2 linked regions of the Rhinolophus ferrumequinum genome follow. The main gene of each other region encodes a partner of the protein of the gene in region 2 in a complex. Links are inferred from orthologs where the notes say so. Each region holds a gene or a part of one and is shown on either strand. Other genes may lie near its edges.

Region 1 (7,066 bases), on a different chromosome or scaffold from region 2:
CTCTAGTCACCCAGGTTATCTTGTGATTGCTTTTAAAGCCCACACAAGTGCTCTGTTGGGGACCTTGTTGGCTATGTCTCCTCCACTGTTCGGGTGTGCTGCATGTGTCTCCAGGATGAGCCCCTCTCCTTTTCCTGCCTGGCCCCCCACCACAGTGTCCTAAGGGATCTTCCCAGGCCATCTTTGCTGCCCTTGCAGCCTGGACCTCCACTTCACTTGCATTACTCCTTTGCCACCCTGTGAGACCTGACTCAGGTTACATGGGTGCTTAGCACATAGGGATTGGGGATAGAGTGTTGATTCCCACTCCTTGAGCAGGAGGAGTATAGTAGGCTGTCCTCACATTATCACTGTGACTGCAGGCTTTGAGCTGGGGCTGGGAAGGGGGAGGAGAAGGAGAGAAAGAGAGGTGCTCAGACAAAGACCAAGGGACACTTGGCCCCAGCTCAGCAACTCTCAGACTCAGAAGAGCAAAGTGCGTCCCAGGTCAAGAGGCAGTGGAGGAGTATGTGTGTGCTGTGTGGGGGAGGAGGGACATTCCAAGTCAGGACAGAGTGTGTTGTGGAGGAAGCATGGTTTTCAGGCCCAGGACTCTCACTGGGGACTCTGTGTGGGAAGAGCACGCAAGTCTGGGCCAAGGGTAACGTGATTCTGGGGATCCTGTTTCTGACCCAAGACAGAAGGCAGAAGGAAGATTGCATGGGTACCTGGATCCTTGGCTGGTTGCCACCTGTACAGAGGTGCCCTTCCTCAGCTCCAGGAGAGATCATGGGGTGGAGAAGTGGCAGTGGGAGCCTTGGAAGTTTCCTGTGCTAGACTTAAGCAAAATGTGAGAGCAACAAATTTACCCAAGTCAGAGTGTGAAGATAGATGATACGATGAAGAAGGGTGAATCAAAGCAAGAAGAGTCAGGGTCTGGGCCAGACACAGTGTTCCCTAACCAACTCTCCCCTTTACCAGTACTTCCCTAACAACTGGACCCCAAAAGGGTTCTAGTGGAGGTCACTTGGCCTCCGGGGGAGCACCAGGTATGCAGATCAGGTAGCTCCAGCTTCCTCTGGGATGTCCTTTCTGCATCTACTCTTTCTTCCCTGAAGGCACCACCTTGGACTGTTTGCCAGTAATGGTATCGGGTGGCTATCTTGTCCTGCCAACTGCATGGATGGCAGGCTCATGGAGGGCAGACCCAGGTAGTTCCTTTCATTCATATTTCTTGCTTTCTTCCTGCCATTGCCTGTCTGACTAGGAATTTCTAAGGAAAAAGCCTGCTCCCTTCTTACCAAAGAGGTGGCTTGACCCAGCACTTAGGCCCTGAGAGGAAGACCATTGGTGATGGCAGTGTGATGCCACACCCAACTGATATACCTTCCTAAAAAGCCAGGGCCAGAGCAGTGCCAAAGGACAAGAGCTGACAAAGGAGGAGGCCTACAAAGAGAGAGAGGTGGAGCCCCACCAGGCCCCTCAGAGGCTCCTGGGCTGCAGACCATGCTCCTGCTCTGGAGGATCTGGAACCAAGTGGGGTCCTTTGCCTTTCCTCTAAGAAACTTGTTGCCCTGCCCTCTCCTCCCCTCTGCTCCAACCTCCTTGGGACTCCAGCCCTGGCACTGGCATTAGTTCACCTGGTCTTGGCCTTTCCTTCTGCGGTGCCAGGCAGGCAGCTGTGACAGCCAGATCACAGGACTGTGGCAGGTAGAGGTGGGAGCTGGCAGCCCCAAGAGACACTGACACAGAGGCCAGGCAGGCCAGGCTGGGGCTGCTGGGTCATGAGTGGAGAACAGGTTTGGGGAGGGCGAGTGAGCACCAATCCCAAGTATGCCAGGTGGGGGGTGTGATGCAGGTGGGGGCAAAAGAACTCCCCTTCCCTGAGCTGAATGGAGATGTTAGTCAGGCACGCTTTCCTGGTTTAGTGCCTGAGACAGGGGTACTAAGGTGAAACATGCCTGTGTCTAGGCCAGAGGGGAGGCCTGAGCCAGGATATGGAAGAACAGCCTGTGGGCCTCCTGTGCAGGAGCAGAACAGACCAGACAGGACCTTGGGGTAAGGTAGACCAGCCTGGCCTGGCCCTGCTGGGCTAGGCCAGGGGGAGGCTGCCTTTGCTCACATGCAAGCTGAAGGGAGCAATAGTTGGGCTCCCTGTCGCTGCCCCCTCCGCATTCTCCAGCCTATGCAACAAGTGTCACGTCTGCATCTTGGCACATTATCCCCAGTGGCTTCTGCCCCGGTACGGGCCAGCAGTTCCTAACCTTCAGGGGCCAAAAACCTTCAAGGCGGGAGCCTAGCCCACCGGACTCAGGTCAGTGCCCTCCATCGATCCATGAGGGGAGCGGGATATGGCCCCTACCACCCTCCACCATGTGGGACATGGGGCGCGGGACACTGGGTGCACTCCTGCGGCCCTGACCTCCTGAGACTGCTAGCAGCGGCCAGGAGGGGCGAGACGCAGAGCGGATGATGCCCGAGGCCGCAGCCGGCTGGTCCCTAGCCGGGGGGCGTCCTGTCAGTTGACTGCCCGGTGCAGCCGACCCGTATCTGCTCCTGCCCTGCGGGCGCCGGGCTTCCGCAGGCGGAGAGCGCGCGGGTGGGGCGGAGGGTAGGGAGCGCGGCGGCGTCAGCCCGAGAGCGGCTAGGGGAGCGCGGGCGGGCGGGAGGAGCGCACTCACCTCCACACACCGCGGTCAGGGAGAGCCACAACAGCAGGAGCGCTAGCACGCAGAACCGCAGATTCATGCTGCTCCTCCAGCCACCACACCGCGGCCCTGGCCAGGGGACAGGGAGGCGGAGAGGCCCAGCGCCCGCAGGCCAAGAAAGGCGCGAGCTGCGGCTGGTGCCGGCGGGTGGGCGCTGAGGTTGCCGGGCTCCTGGGCCGCACCGCAGGCTGGCCAGCCGTGGGTGCTCTCCGGCTCCACTCGCCTTCAGCCTCCCACTCCTGCGCGGGCAGCGCCGCCAAGCTGGCCTCAGCGGCTCCGGTGGCAGTGGCGAACTCTTTCCAAGAGGCTAGCTGCTCGGCGGAGGCTCTAGCTGCCCGAGGTCCAGACTGCCAGCGAGAATGCTGCTTGCTCACTCCAGGGGCTGCATTTTGTAGCTTGTGGCTTGGCCTCGAGCCCACTTGGTCATGTGGTCATCCGGAGGGCTGGAGGGAGAGCCAGGAAGACCGAGAGGGGCGAGCATCCCGCACCTCCCCACTCTGGGCACGCAGTCTGTGGCCCCAGCCAGGGCGCTAGAGGGAACCTGGAGGTAGCCCCACAACAAAGGCTGCACTGCAGCTCCAGCAACCACAATCGCTCCCCGAACAATGCCCGCCTGGCTGGGAGCCAGAGGGTTTGGGAGACCTGAAGGATTTCAAACATAGAAAGCATTTGGGGGCGGTGGAGGGGCACACTTAACCGTTTCTCACCTGACTTCCTTAATAGTTGTCAAGGAACCCAGGTGCTCTGGGAAGGACCCCGCCCAGGCTGCCCCCACTCACCCACAGCATCTCTGACCCTCTCCTTTCCCTGCCCATCCGCAGCAACAGGGCTTGTCCAAGACGACCCCACACTGGCCCTCCTCTCTTTTCTGCAACACAAACTGGGTTTGAGTTGGAGATTATTGCCCAGACTTGTGCCTAAGACTGCTTCATTGCCCAGTGACCCGAGGAGGCATCCTCTACCTGGAATGGCCCCACCCAGCCCATCCTGCCCGAGAGTTCTTCATTCTTGCAGCGGCACTTCAAATCCCATCTTATTCAGATAACAATATTCCAGGAGGGGCTGCCCCTGGGTTCCTCCTGGCTTTGGGACATACAGCAGCTCCTGTGGTGTCCCCTTTTTTGTTCCCCATCATTAAGAGAGGAGGACGGTTTGCCCGACTCCAACAGTCTAGACTGGATTCATTATACATGTCCTTCGGATTCCCCTTTGTAAGTGGGTCGTGAAGTTATTTGCCTTCCCAGACTAGACTGTTGGTTCCTACAGCCTTGGAGCTCACAAAGGAAGGGAATACCTTGATCACCGGACTGGGAAACCCCTAAGATTGGATCCTGTCTGCTCTTTCTTCTGCATCTCTCTGAAGTCCCCAATATCTAACTCTGCACATAGGTGGCACTCAACACATGTTAAAAGACTAAACTGAAAGGTGTTTCCACATTTCGGCTGGCCAGGAAGTTTGCTTGAAATGCAATTCCATATTTACACAAAAGATAGATTGGACAGTGCGTAATGTATGCCACGGTATATTTAAAATATGTTTGAAATGTTAATACAATTCAGTACATACACAATTTATTACCAATCTCCCTCCATCGTAATTGTCAGCTCCACAAGAAAGAGATTTCCACCTTGTTCACAGCTGTATCCCCAAATCTAGAACAGTGCCTGGGGCATAGTGCTCAACACATAATTTTGAATATATAAATAATTTTTTCAAAAACATCCCTTTTGCCTAAATCAAGGTAGTGGGAAGGGAATAAAATAGCCACAGTCCAATAGGAAAAAGGCAGAGATGTGAAGCAGAGCACCTCTTCATCTGTGAGGCCCAGGCTGTGAGCAGCGGGCATTAGTAGCAGGAGATCATTTCCCCATGCTGTCCCCCTAGAAAAAAATCTTCCAAATAGGAGGAAAAACACCTGGCCTCTAGTCCACACCCTTATCTGCTGTAAGGCCATGATATCATTACTAAAATTTACCGGGTCTCATGGGGATGATCATCTCCACCCTACCCTCTTCAGGGTTGCTATGGGATTTAATGAGATAATGTACCTAAAGGCACGGTACCAATAGGAATAAACCCTTGTAGAGTCACTGCTCCAACCCCTGATTCAGTAAGCCCATGCACCCCCAAATGAGTGCCCCACGTAACTAGGCTAATAGAATCACTCATATGTAATTACACCATTACTAGGGTGTGTAGGGGTTATTTGCTAAATGGTTAGAGCTGTGCTTTCCAATCTAGTAGATACTAACAATGTTTAAAATAAAATGAAAAAAAATCATTTCCTCAGTCACACTGGCCACATTTTCATTGCTCAGTAGCCACATGTGATATTGGACAGCACAGAATAGAACCTTCCAATCATTGCAGAAAATTCTATCAGTGGCAAAGTCAGGACTGGAATGAATTATAACAGTGTTGAATCATAACACCTTATTCATTCTTCCTTTCTCTAAATCCTTTCCCCCACCTATCTTAGCCTTCAAAATGCACAAGGGGAAAAAATACAACTAACCAAGTGTTCAAGGCAAGCAACATTCAGTAAATAGAAGGCATGGATTTAGAGCAAGATTTAAAGAGCTGAACATATGAGAGAATCATGTTTTAATCTAATCTTTCTTTCCATTTAACCAAATTGCATCCATTTTTCCAGTCCCAGATCCAAGATCTCATCTTCCTTCTTTCTCAGGCCATTCTTGCTCATGGTGATTTTGCCCACTTTGTAACAGCTATAGCTGTACCTTTCATTGGCAGTTACTTTTGCAATGTGTTGGGAGCACTTTCGTGTCTGCACGCTGTGCCCTGTGGGCCTATGGAGAAGGTCCTCCACCAGCTTACCCATTCTGGAAGTGAGGCTCATGAGGCAAGGAATGCAACCCTGATTAATCACTCTGAAACCCCCGTGGGCATATTCAAATGACCCCAACAGTATATTCAAATGACCAGTTTTCATATCTGTCTCCACTCACTGAGATTTGAGAAGCAAATTCTCACTGCTCTGGGACCATATATCCCTTTATTTGCACTTCTAATGCCTTACTCATACTGTCTTGGATCAAATTAGGAAGCAGTGAGTCATAGTGCTTAAGCACGTGTATTCTGGAATAAGGCAGCTCTGTCACTTACTACATAGGTAACTTTGGGTAAATTATTTGCCCTTTCTGAGACTTGGGTTCCTCATCCGAAAAAGGGTTAGTACCTAGCTACCTGGGTTATTGGAAGGATTAAATAAATCAGTACCTATAAGGTACTTGACACAGTGCTTGGCTCTTCTGGTAAGGCAAGCATTGTATAAATGTTACATATTCTCATAAATATTTGTGTATATGTCTTACCAACACTATGAGATAGTAAGACTATGTGTTCTCACCAGCAGTGCTGGTACCCAAAGCCAATAATAAATGTTCATTGAAGGAACTGTATAGTCATACTAATAATCACATGTTTATGATATATATCAAGTGTCCTTAATTGGATACTTTTATTTGGGTAAAATCATCACAATTTGTCCAACAGATTCTTAGATGGGTCAATGCCAATAGTTAGAAATATGAGATAGGACAATTAAGTTCGCGAACTCATCCTAGACAAAGTGCTACATGCCTCATTGCTGAATATCATTACAGTCACCTTCGAAGTACTCCCCTTGGGAAGCTATACACCGAGGCCAGTGCCTAGTCCACCCTTCAAAGCAATTTTGGAACCCTTTTTCTGGAATAGCCATCAGAGCTGTCATCATATTACCCTTGACATCCTGAATGTCATTAAAATGTCTTCCTTTTGGGGCAGCCAGTTAGCTCAGCTGGTTAGAACATGGTGCTCTTAACAACAAGGTTTCTGGTTCAGTCCCCACATGGGCCACTGTGAGCTGTGCCCTCCACAACTTGATTGAAACAACTACTTGACTTGGAGCTAATGGGTCCTGGAAAAACACACTTAAAATTAAAAAAAAAAAAGTCTTCCTTTCAATATTTCCTTTATCTTTGGGTAAAAAAAGAAGTAATCGGGGGCCAGATCAGGTGAGTAAGGAGGGTGTTCCAATACAATCATTTGTTTACTGGCTATAAACTCCCTCACAGACAGTGCCATGTGAGCTGGTGCATTGTCCTGATGCAAGAGCCATGAATTGTTGGCAAAAAGTTCAGGTTGTCTAACTTTTTCACACAGCCTTTTCAGCACTTCCAAGTAGTCCATTTGGTTTACTGTTTGTCCAGTTGGTACAAATTCATAATGAATAATCCCTCTGATATTAAAAAAAAAGGGTAGCAACATCATTGCAACAAGTTCGCGAACTTAATTGTCCGACCTTCATAACAAACATGTGAACTCTCCTTACACCCAATTGTGCAGTGGCTGTTTTTACTGGAGTAATGTAAAA
Region 2 (7,985 bases):
CCCAGCCCCTGCACCCAGCAGGAGAAGCCAAGGAGTCTGGTACTGATGGTGAGGTGAGAAAAAACCCGCCAGTGCTCTTCACTCCATGGCAAGCAGGTGCTCCCCTTAAGAAGAGGGTCACAGACCCTGGAAGAGGGAGCATGAAAGAAACACCCATAAACTCAAAACAAGGTGAGGAGCATGGGAAAGGGGCCAAAGGAAACTCTTAACCAGCCTCCTGTGTCCCTCATGAAACGAGGGAAGGCATGGGGACCCAACACATAGGACCTCCTCAAGCCGTGGGCACCAGTTGCTCTGGGGAGTACTCTCCTTATATGGAGCCCAGAGCAAACACACAGACTTCTCCCTTAAAGCACGGACCAGCCGTCGGAGCCCCCAAATCCAGTGGGGGGTGGACACATTTTTATTCTATATTGCCTCAACATGTCCTTTCTTCCCTCAAGGATACTGTGTGAAGAATGAAGACGTGGTGGAAAGGAAGGGGTTGTTATCCAAGTGACAAGTGACACAGGCACACTACTCTTCATGCTTTGCTCAGCAGGCTTACACACACACACACACACACACACACACACACACACAAGAAGCATCTCCACTGCAGCGAAAGTGACTTGGCACTGAGTATCTCCAGTGCCCAAGAAAAACCTCCTGGGGGTGACGGGGTGGGGAGTGTGGGGGACAGGGGAGAGACCTGCAGCTCAGCGTCGGAGGAGGTTTGAGGGGGAAGGAAAGCCAAGCAGCGTGTAGAAGAAATGCAGATGCCCCTTTTTCTCCCAACTCCCCATTCACATAATGAAACCAAATAGCCGGTTGCTTCACCAACCTCACTGCCTCCCGGTTCCCACAGAGACCAGAGGATGAATGAAAGGGTCTGAGGACATCTGCAGAAAGCACATCTAGTTGACATCTTGGAGGGGATGTGGGAAGGGAGGCCCCTTCTGGAATCGCTCTACCCCCAGTGCCTGAAATCACAGCGCACTGATTCTGTTTGGGGGAAAGTTCTGGAGCGCCTGCCTGCAGACTGCAGCGCTAATTCTTTGCTGACACCCAGCCCACCCCCGCCCCAGCCCATTCCCTTGGCTTTCTCAGGGAACAGGATAAAGAGCTTGAACTGGAGTGGTGTTTACAAGCTTCAGGATTCTTAACCCTTAGGAGTCCTTCAGAACAAGGAGGTAAAAAGGGGGAAGAAGAAAGGATTGAGGGAGGGGGATGAGCTAGGAAGAAGGGGTGGGAATCAGAGGTAAGGATTCAGAGTGAAAATTACAGAGACAGAGGGGAAAACAGAGAGAGGACGAGAGGAGAGAAAAGTGAAAGGAAAGGACGGAGAAAAAAGAGCTGGAGATCCAAGAAAAAGGGAGTGGGGGAACGAACTTTTATTGAGCCAGACGCACACATCATATTACTACCCTTCAGTATGGTTTCCCCCATGTTACACAAATGGAGAAACTGAGACGTTAAGAGACTTGTGCCACGTCAGTCCCACAGATATTGAGTGGCCAAGCATGGGTCCGCAGGGCTCAGACTCCTTCCACAAAACCTCTGACCAAAACTAACGGAGAAAAATGGACAAGAGGGAGGCGGGAGGCAGGGGGCAGGGAAAGAAGTCAAGTGCAAGAGAGAGGGTACCCTCATGAGACCTGACTTTCAGAGAGAGCGCGAGGGCAGAGGGCACCAGGCCTCCCTGGGAATCCCAGCCCTAGTCAGCCACAAGGGTCTCTTGGCTGTAGGGGATGGATTTCTCCTGTGTCTGCTCCCCGACCTTCCCTGAGTTAGGGCCGGGCCCCTGGCTGTGCCCTGAGGAGTAGCTGGCGGACTTCTCTGCACTGCTGCTGTGGGAGGCGCCCCCACACCTGCTCTGGCCCCAGCAGAGCACCGAGGTGCACGCCTGGCGGAAGCGGGGGTCAAAGAAGGCGTAGAGGAAGGGATTGAGGCAGCTGTTGATGTAGCTGATGCAGGTGCAGTAGGGGAAGACGTTCATGAGGAAGAGGTCGAAGCCGCAGGGCCAGTGCAGCAGGCTGCCCAGCATGTAGAGCGTCTTCACCAGGTGGTAGGGCGTCCAGCACAGGGCGAAGGTCACCACCAGCACCACGATGATGCTCAGCAACCGGCGCCGCTTGCGCAGGCCCTCGATGCGCTCCTTCCGGAAGTGGCCGGCGATGGTTTGCGCGATGAAGAAGTAACAGGTCAGCATGATGGTGAAGGGCACCACGAAGCCCAGGGCCGTGGACGAGACCCCCAGGCCCACCTCCCAGGCCCACTCCGAGCTGGAGGTGGCCACCATGGAGTAGTCCATGTAGCACTGCACCTTGGTGATGTTCTCCAGGTTGGGAACCACCGCGGTGGCCCGGAACACCATGACCGGCACGGCCAGGAGGGCAGCCAGCACCCACAGGACCGCTGTGGCCACAGCCCCGCTGACCCGCAGCCTCAGCCGAGCGTTGGCCACTGGCCTCACGATGGCCAGGTAACGGTCGAAGCTGAGGCCGGTGAGGCAGAAGACGCTGGCGTACATGTTGACAAAAATGAGATAGCTGCTGAGTTTGCAGGCGAAGGAACCGAAGGGCCAGTCGTAGTCCCGGTACGTGTAAGTGGCCCACAGAGGCAGGGTCACCACGAAAGTCAGATCAGCCACCGCCAGGCTGGAGATGAAGATATCAGCCGAGCGCCTCTTCTCCCTGCTGGTCCGAAACACGGTCCAGAGCACCAGGCCGTTGCCCGTGGTGCCCAGGAGGAAGACCAGCATGTAGATGGCCGGGATGAGGGCCCCTGAGGATTTCCAGTCCGTGTACTCACACTCAGACTGGTTGTCTGCCCCATAATCATTGTCGAAATCTCCACCTTCCTCCATGCTGGGGGGCAGAGAGAAGCCGAGCAGGGGATCCCCCAGGCAACCAGCTCGGTGGCTGTGTCACCAACTCAGCAAGCGCCCAGAGCTTCTGGCTTGAGCCTTGGAAGGAAGGCGGGTGCAAAAGGGCCGAAGGTGTCCTGAGCCCTTCCCAGCAGCGGGAGGAGGATGCCTGCTTCTGCAGATTTCCCTCCAGCCTCTCCTGCCTTGCCCCAGCCTCAGCTAAGACACTTCCTGCGCCCTCCTGAGTCTCTGTCTCCTCCTTGACTCGTCACTCCCTCCTCCCACCTACAGACCAACCCCTCACTTGTGAGTCTTAAGATATTTCAGTTACAACCCACTTTTCTTTTTCCTTCTTGTCACTGGGCAAGTGGCAGAATGTTATCTGTGCCTTGCAGCCAGCTCTTCTCCTGGCTCCGCCTCTATCCCTCTGGTTTCCTCTGGTCTTTGGAGTGCCCCCTCCTCAACCCTCCTGTTCTCACCTCCTCCCATCCCCTCTAAATGGGGCAAATTATGCAGATTGAAATCCAGCCTGAGCTGGAGCCAGGGAGGGCAGGGGGCTAGGAGAGTGTGAGATTTCGCAGGATGATCTGAGCATCTGGCAAGCCCTCCTGGCAGGCGGGTCTGGCCCCTTGGGTCTGTCCTACCCTCCCCTCTTTCCCTCCCAGACTTCACTTTACTCTTCTGCTCACGTCACGCTGCTTTACCCCTGGGCTTTGACCCTCTCTCTGGGAACATTTATATTTTACAGACACAGTTATAGGGCAATTTCTCTAGAATTCATAAGCTGTTGGCAGATAGAAGTTTGCAGATGGCATAGAAAGTTTTAGAAAGTCAGGAGAGAGTCACAGGACAAAAGAAACCCCAGACAAAAGGATCTCTAATCAAGTCATTAAATCTATGGGGAAACTGAGGCCCAAGGTCGCAGGATGAATTTTGTTCCAGTTTTGTTGTTTGCTTTTCTTCTTCTCCAAGCACCTAACACAGGGCCTGGCGTGTAGTAGGCGATCACTAAGGGAGAGAATGAAAAGAGGAGCCCATAGATAGAGAAAAGAGAATATGGATTACTATGCAGTGAGAACATGGATACATTTCAATCCTCAGGTTCTTACTACATGGACCAGGTTTCTTTACAGCCGTATGGGGACCAGACGTGACAACTAGAGGAAGAGGCAGAGAAAAGGGCAGTCGCTGAGTCGATGCCGTGGGCACAGTCACATAGAAACGCACATTGCCCTGTCTGCCTACCTCTCCAGGACCTCTTGGCAGGAAGAGGGGAGGGCTGCACAAGATAAGATAAAAAATATGCACATGCCCTCCCCACCCCAAGAATGGAGGAGGCGATCTAAAGTTGGGCAGGGGTGAGATGAAGCAAAATCAGGAGACGAGTCTTGCCTACATCCAAAGCGAAGGGTTTACAAAACGAGAATCCATTGTCTCAAGAGAGGTTTAGTCAGAAAATCTTCTGCAGAGGTCACAAAGCAGGAACCCCAAACTCAAATACCCGCAGAGACCAGGCTAAGAATGTAGACGGGTGAAACAGGCAGTTTGAGACAATAAGGAGTGGTGGAGACTGTGCGCAAACACACTCCATCGAAAGGAGGCCTCCTCAGCTCCCATCTCTGATTGCCAGCATTTCCGTGCCTTATGGTTTTCTTGACAAAACTTTAAATTCTGGATTTCATGAGAAATTTCCAGATTTGTAAATGTGGGAAATTAATTCCATTTTTAAAAAGATAGGGCAGCACAAGGAAAACATGTCCTCAGGCCCCTCCCTATTCAGTGCCCTTTGAACAGGAATAGAAAGTGAGAGGAAAACAGGGAGGGTAGGCCAGGAGGAAGAAATATAAAATGCAAAGATAGAGAAATTATAATAAGCATGGTCAAAGCCTTAGGGTGCAATGGAGGGACTACAGGAGAGGAGGCTGGAGAGAAAGATGAGAAAGGTCCGAGGGTCTTGGATGGCTTTTACCTGAAGGCAGTGTGTGAATGAGAACACGTTGGTATTCCTCATGAGGATTATATATGGAGCAGTTACTACATGCTAGACATTCTTCTGAACATGTTATATTTTATACTGTGTTCCCCCGAAAATAAGACCTAGCCAGACCATCAGCTCTAATGCATCTTTTGGAGCAAAAATTAATATAAGACCCGGTCTTATATTACATTATATTATATAAGACCCGGTCTAATATTACAGTAAAATAAGACCAGTTCTAATATTAATTTTTGCTCCAAAAGATGCATTAGAGTTGATTGTCCAGCTAGGTCTTATTTTGGGGGAAACACGGTACGTATTTATTTCTTTTAACTGGCAAAACTATTTTAGTAAGTAAGTACTCTCATTCATCTCAATTTACTGATGAGGAAGCTGAGGCACAAGGAAGTGAAACAACTTGTGGTCACCCAGCTAGTAATTTGCAGAATCAGAATTTGAACCAAGGCTGTCTTGAGTTCATGGATTCAAGCACTGTGTTCCCAAAGAAAAAAAAAACTCCAACCCTTTTTAGATTGGGGCATTTGTCATCTGTTGAGCATTATAGAAATGTAGGACAAAAGATTTATACAATCTAAAGAGAAACCAGAGTAGAGTTTCTGCTGAAAAGTCTGATGATAGTTTAATGGGCTTTCCCTTATCGATTACTGCTATTTTTCCCCTGGCCGCCTTGAGAATTCTTTCTTTGCCAATTGCAGCATTATATACAGTGGCCAGGACGTGGAAACAACCAAAGTGTCCTTCGATAGATGAATGGATAAGGAATATGTGGTATATATACGCAATGGAATACTATTCTGCCATAAGAAAAGATGAAATACTGCCATTTGCGACAACATGGATGAATCTTGAGATTATATGCTAAGTGAAATAAGTCAGACAGAAAAAGTTGAGAACCATATGACTTCACTCATATGTGGGATATAAAACTGAAAACAACAAAGGAAAAAAACAAAGAAAGAAAGAAACAAAAATTCATAGACACAGCAAATAGTTTAGTGGTTACCAGAGGGTAATGGGGGGTGGAGGGTGGTAGAAGAGGGTAAAGGGGGTCAAACATATGGTGACGGAAGGAGAACTGACTCTGGGTGGTGAGCACACAATGTGATATATAAATGATGTATTATAGAAGTGCACACTTGAAACCTACGTAATTTTACTAACCATTATCACCCCAATAAATTTAATTTAGAAAGAAAGAAAGAAAGAAAGAAAGAAAGAAAGAAAGAAAGAAAGAAAGAAAGAAAGAAAGAAAGAAAGAAAGAAAGAAAGAAAGAAAGAAAGAAAGAAAAAGTGTAGGAGAGTGCAAGGATACCCATAATTTTGAAATGAGCTCTTTGGGGTGAAATTAAAAATGGATTGATTAAAATACTTCAGAGAGACTCCCTACTCTTGATTGAATAGGGTGTAAGAGCCCTGCCAGACAACAATAGTCTGTACGGTACCCTTACAGTTAGCACCATAGCTCGATCCAGAAACTGCCCTGTTCCTTGCCATTCCCAAAGACGGTTCTTGGTTGCCTGATGCCAGCCCAGCCTCTGGAACCTTGGCAGTCTGCAAAATGCCGGTCGGGACACCGAATAGGACCCAGGACCCAGAGCTGGAGCTTCATGGATCTCACAGTACACAGGGTAGTGATGCCTGGGGCCTGCTTGCTCCCACATGTTTGTCTAATAGAAGCCTATGCAGGTGGCAGAATGGCTGTCATTATAACCTGACAGCAGGCTCGGGTGGCAGATGTTCAAGTTCAACCCCTCAGACTTCTTCAAGCTGGACTTATCAAAAGGGACCTTAGAGTTGAGCAGGAACCTGTTTGGCTCAGGTCAGCTCACAATTGATGTGCCTGTAATGAATTAAAATAACTGCTCAGGACATTCCCGGATAAAAGCCAAATTTGAGACCCCCAGGGAATCCAGATCTTCTCTGCTTCTCCAAGGAAGATTTAGGTACCCCTGCCCTTTGCAGCTAGGAGCATAGACATGCGGGGAGCAAGTGAGCTCAGGGTGTCCCCAAAATCAGGTTCCTCCCCTCAGCTGTACCCATTTGGATCCTGAGCCAGATGGAGACCCCGTAGAAGAGGATATAGATCCACCTCCTTAATCCTCTAGCCTCAGACTCTCTGCCTCCCAGGAGGTAAGAAGTTGTTAATCTCACCAAAGGAACCAGACTGGCTGAAATGAGAGGGAATGGGAGGCCAAGGCTGGGAGGGACCCCTGACTGAGGCCAGAGGAGATACAGTATAGATAAGATCCTGCCTCCAGCCAAGAACCTGCTGGAACCAGATGGCCTGAGTGCCCCCAGCCTGCAATCAGCCAGCCTCACTCCTCACCCAGCCTCATACCCAAGGCCCCTGTCCATCCAACGCAGAAGATGCCAGTTCGGTCAATAGGACGAGTAGCTGGAGGCAGACCTTATGTGCCCCCAGAGTCCAGAAGTTAGCCCTCCCCGGACAGAGAGTACCTGGGAAGAAGCGGCTTTTCACCTCTGTGCCCCCTAGACTTGGCACCTGGTAAATGCCTATTGAATTAAAGCCATAGGAGGCACTTAGGAAAAGGATGTGAAAGGCTGGTCTGCACCCCAAGGCTGCTCCCCTGCATTCACAAAGGCAACTTTTTGCTAAATTGATCCAGAATAATCTACCCTGAGCCATCTGGCAAACCAGCAGCTAGGGCAGGACTGTCAGCCAGTGTCCCCTGGGCTGGCCTACCCTGGAGAGGCCAAGCAGGTTTCCCGGGGAACTTCTCTCTCTCCTGGGTGATTTCTGAGGGTATTGTGATGAGCCTGAGATGAACAGCTCCTGGCAGGACAGGGCCCCAGACATGCCACAGGGGCTTTGAGGACAGCCCAGACTGCTGGGGCACCTCTGGAGTCAGTGAGTCAGTAGCCCTCACCCACCCCACCCCCAGGTTGGTTCCTGGCCTGAAAAGCAGAGACAGGCTTGGCTTTGTGCCTGTAGCTGTGTGGCTATGTACACTTGTGAGCCGGGTTTGTATGTGCCCTGGGGTCGCTTGTGAGCAGACGGGACTTGTGCACTGGGTACAGTAGGGAGTGTGTGGTGGGGTCAGGGCTCTGGATAAACATCCTCCTGGAGGACAGGAAAGGGTGGTTGATTGGATCTCTCTAAGGGTCTGGCAAGAGGGG

What was found.
Region 1: the proteins of APLNR (region 2) and APLN are in contact, whole or in part, in a cryo-EM structure (PDB 8XZG), measured with the Homo sapiens proteins. The link is inferred for Rhinolophus ferrumequinum from reciprocal best matches to the Homo sapiens genes APLNR and APLN. Residues at the interface, in NP_005152.1 of Homo sapiens: Tyr35, Phe78, Trp85, Tyr88, Thr89, Tyr93, Ser106, Ile109, Phe110, Met113, Pro163, Val164, Arg168, Gln180, Cys181, Tyr182, Met183, Tyr185, Glu194, Glu198, Leu201, Gly202, Ser205, Tyr264, Lys268, Tyr271, Ser275, Cys281, Asp284, Leu285; in NP_059109.3 of Homo sapiens: Arg66, Pro67, Arg68, Leu69, Ser70, His71, Lys72, Gly73, Pro74, Met75, Pro76, Phe77.

What each region holds. Positions count from the first base shown.
Region 1 is NC_046284.1:26,308,842-26,315,907, reverse strand, and holds the start of APLN (apelin), read right to left. Parts: upstream 3,036-7,066; 5' UTR 2,728-3,035; coding exon 2,661-2,727; intron 1-2,660. UniProt on the Homo sapiens protein: Peptide hormone that functions as endogenous ligand for the G-protein-coupled apelin receptor (APLNR/APJ), that plays a role in cadiovascular homeostasis. Functions as a balanced agonist activating both G(i) protein pathway and beta-arrestin pathway of APLNR.
Region 2 is NC_046294.1:11,826,914-11,834,898, reverse strand, and holds the start of APLNR (apelin receptor), read right to left. Parts: upstream 3,077-7,985; 5' UTR 2,849-3,076; coding exon 1,697-2,848; 3' UTR 1-1,696. UniProt on the Homo sapiens protein: G protein-coupled receptor for peptide hormones apelin (APLN) and apelin receptor early endogenous ligand (APELA/ELA), that plays a role in the regulation of normal cardiovascular function and fluid homeostasis.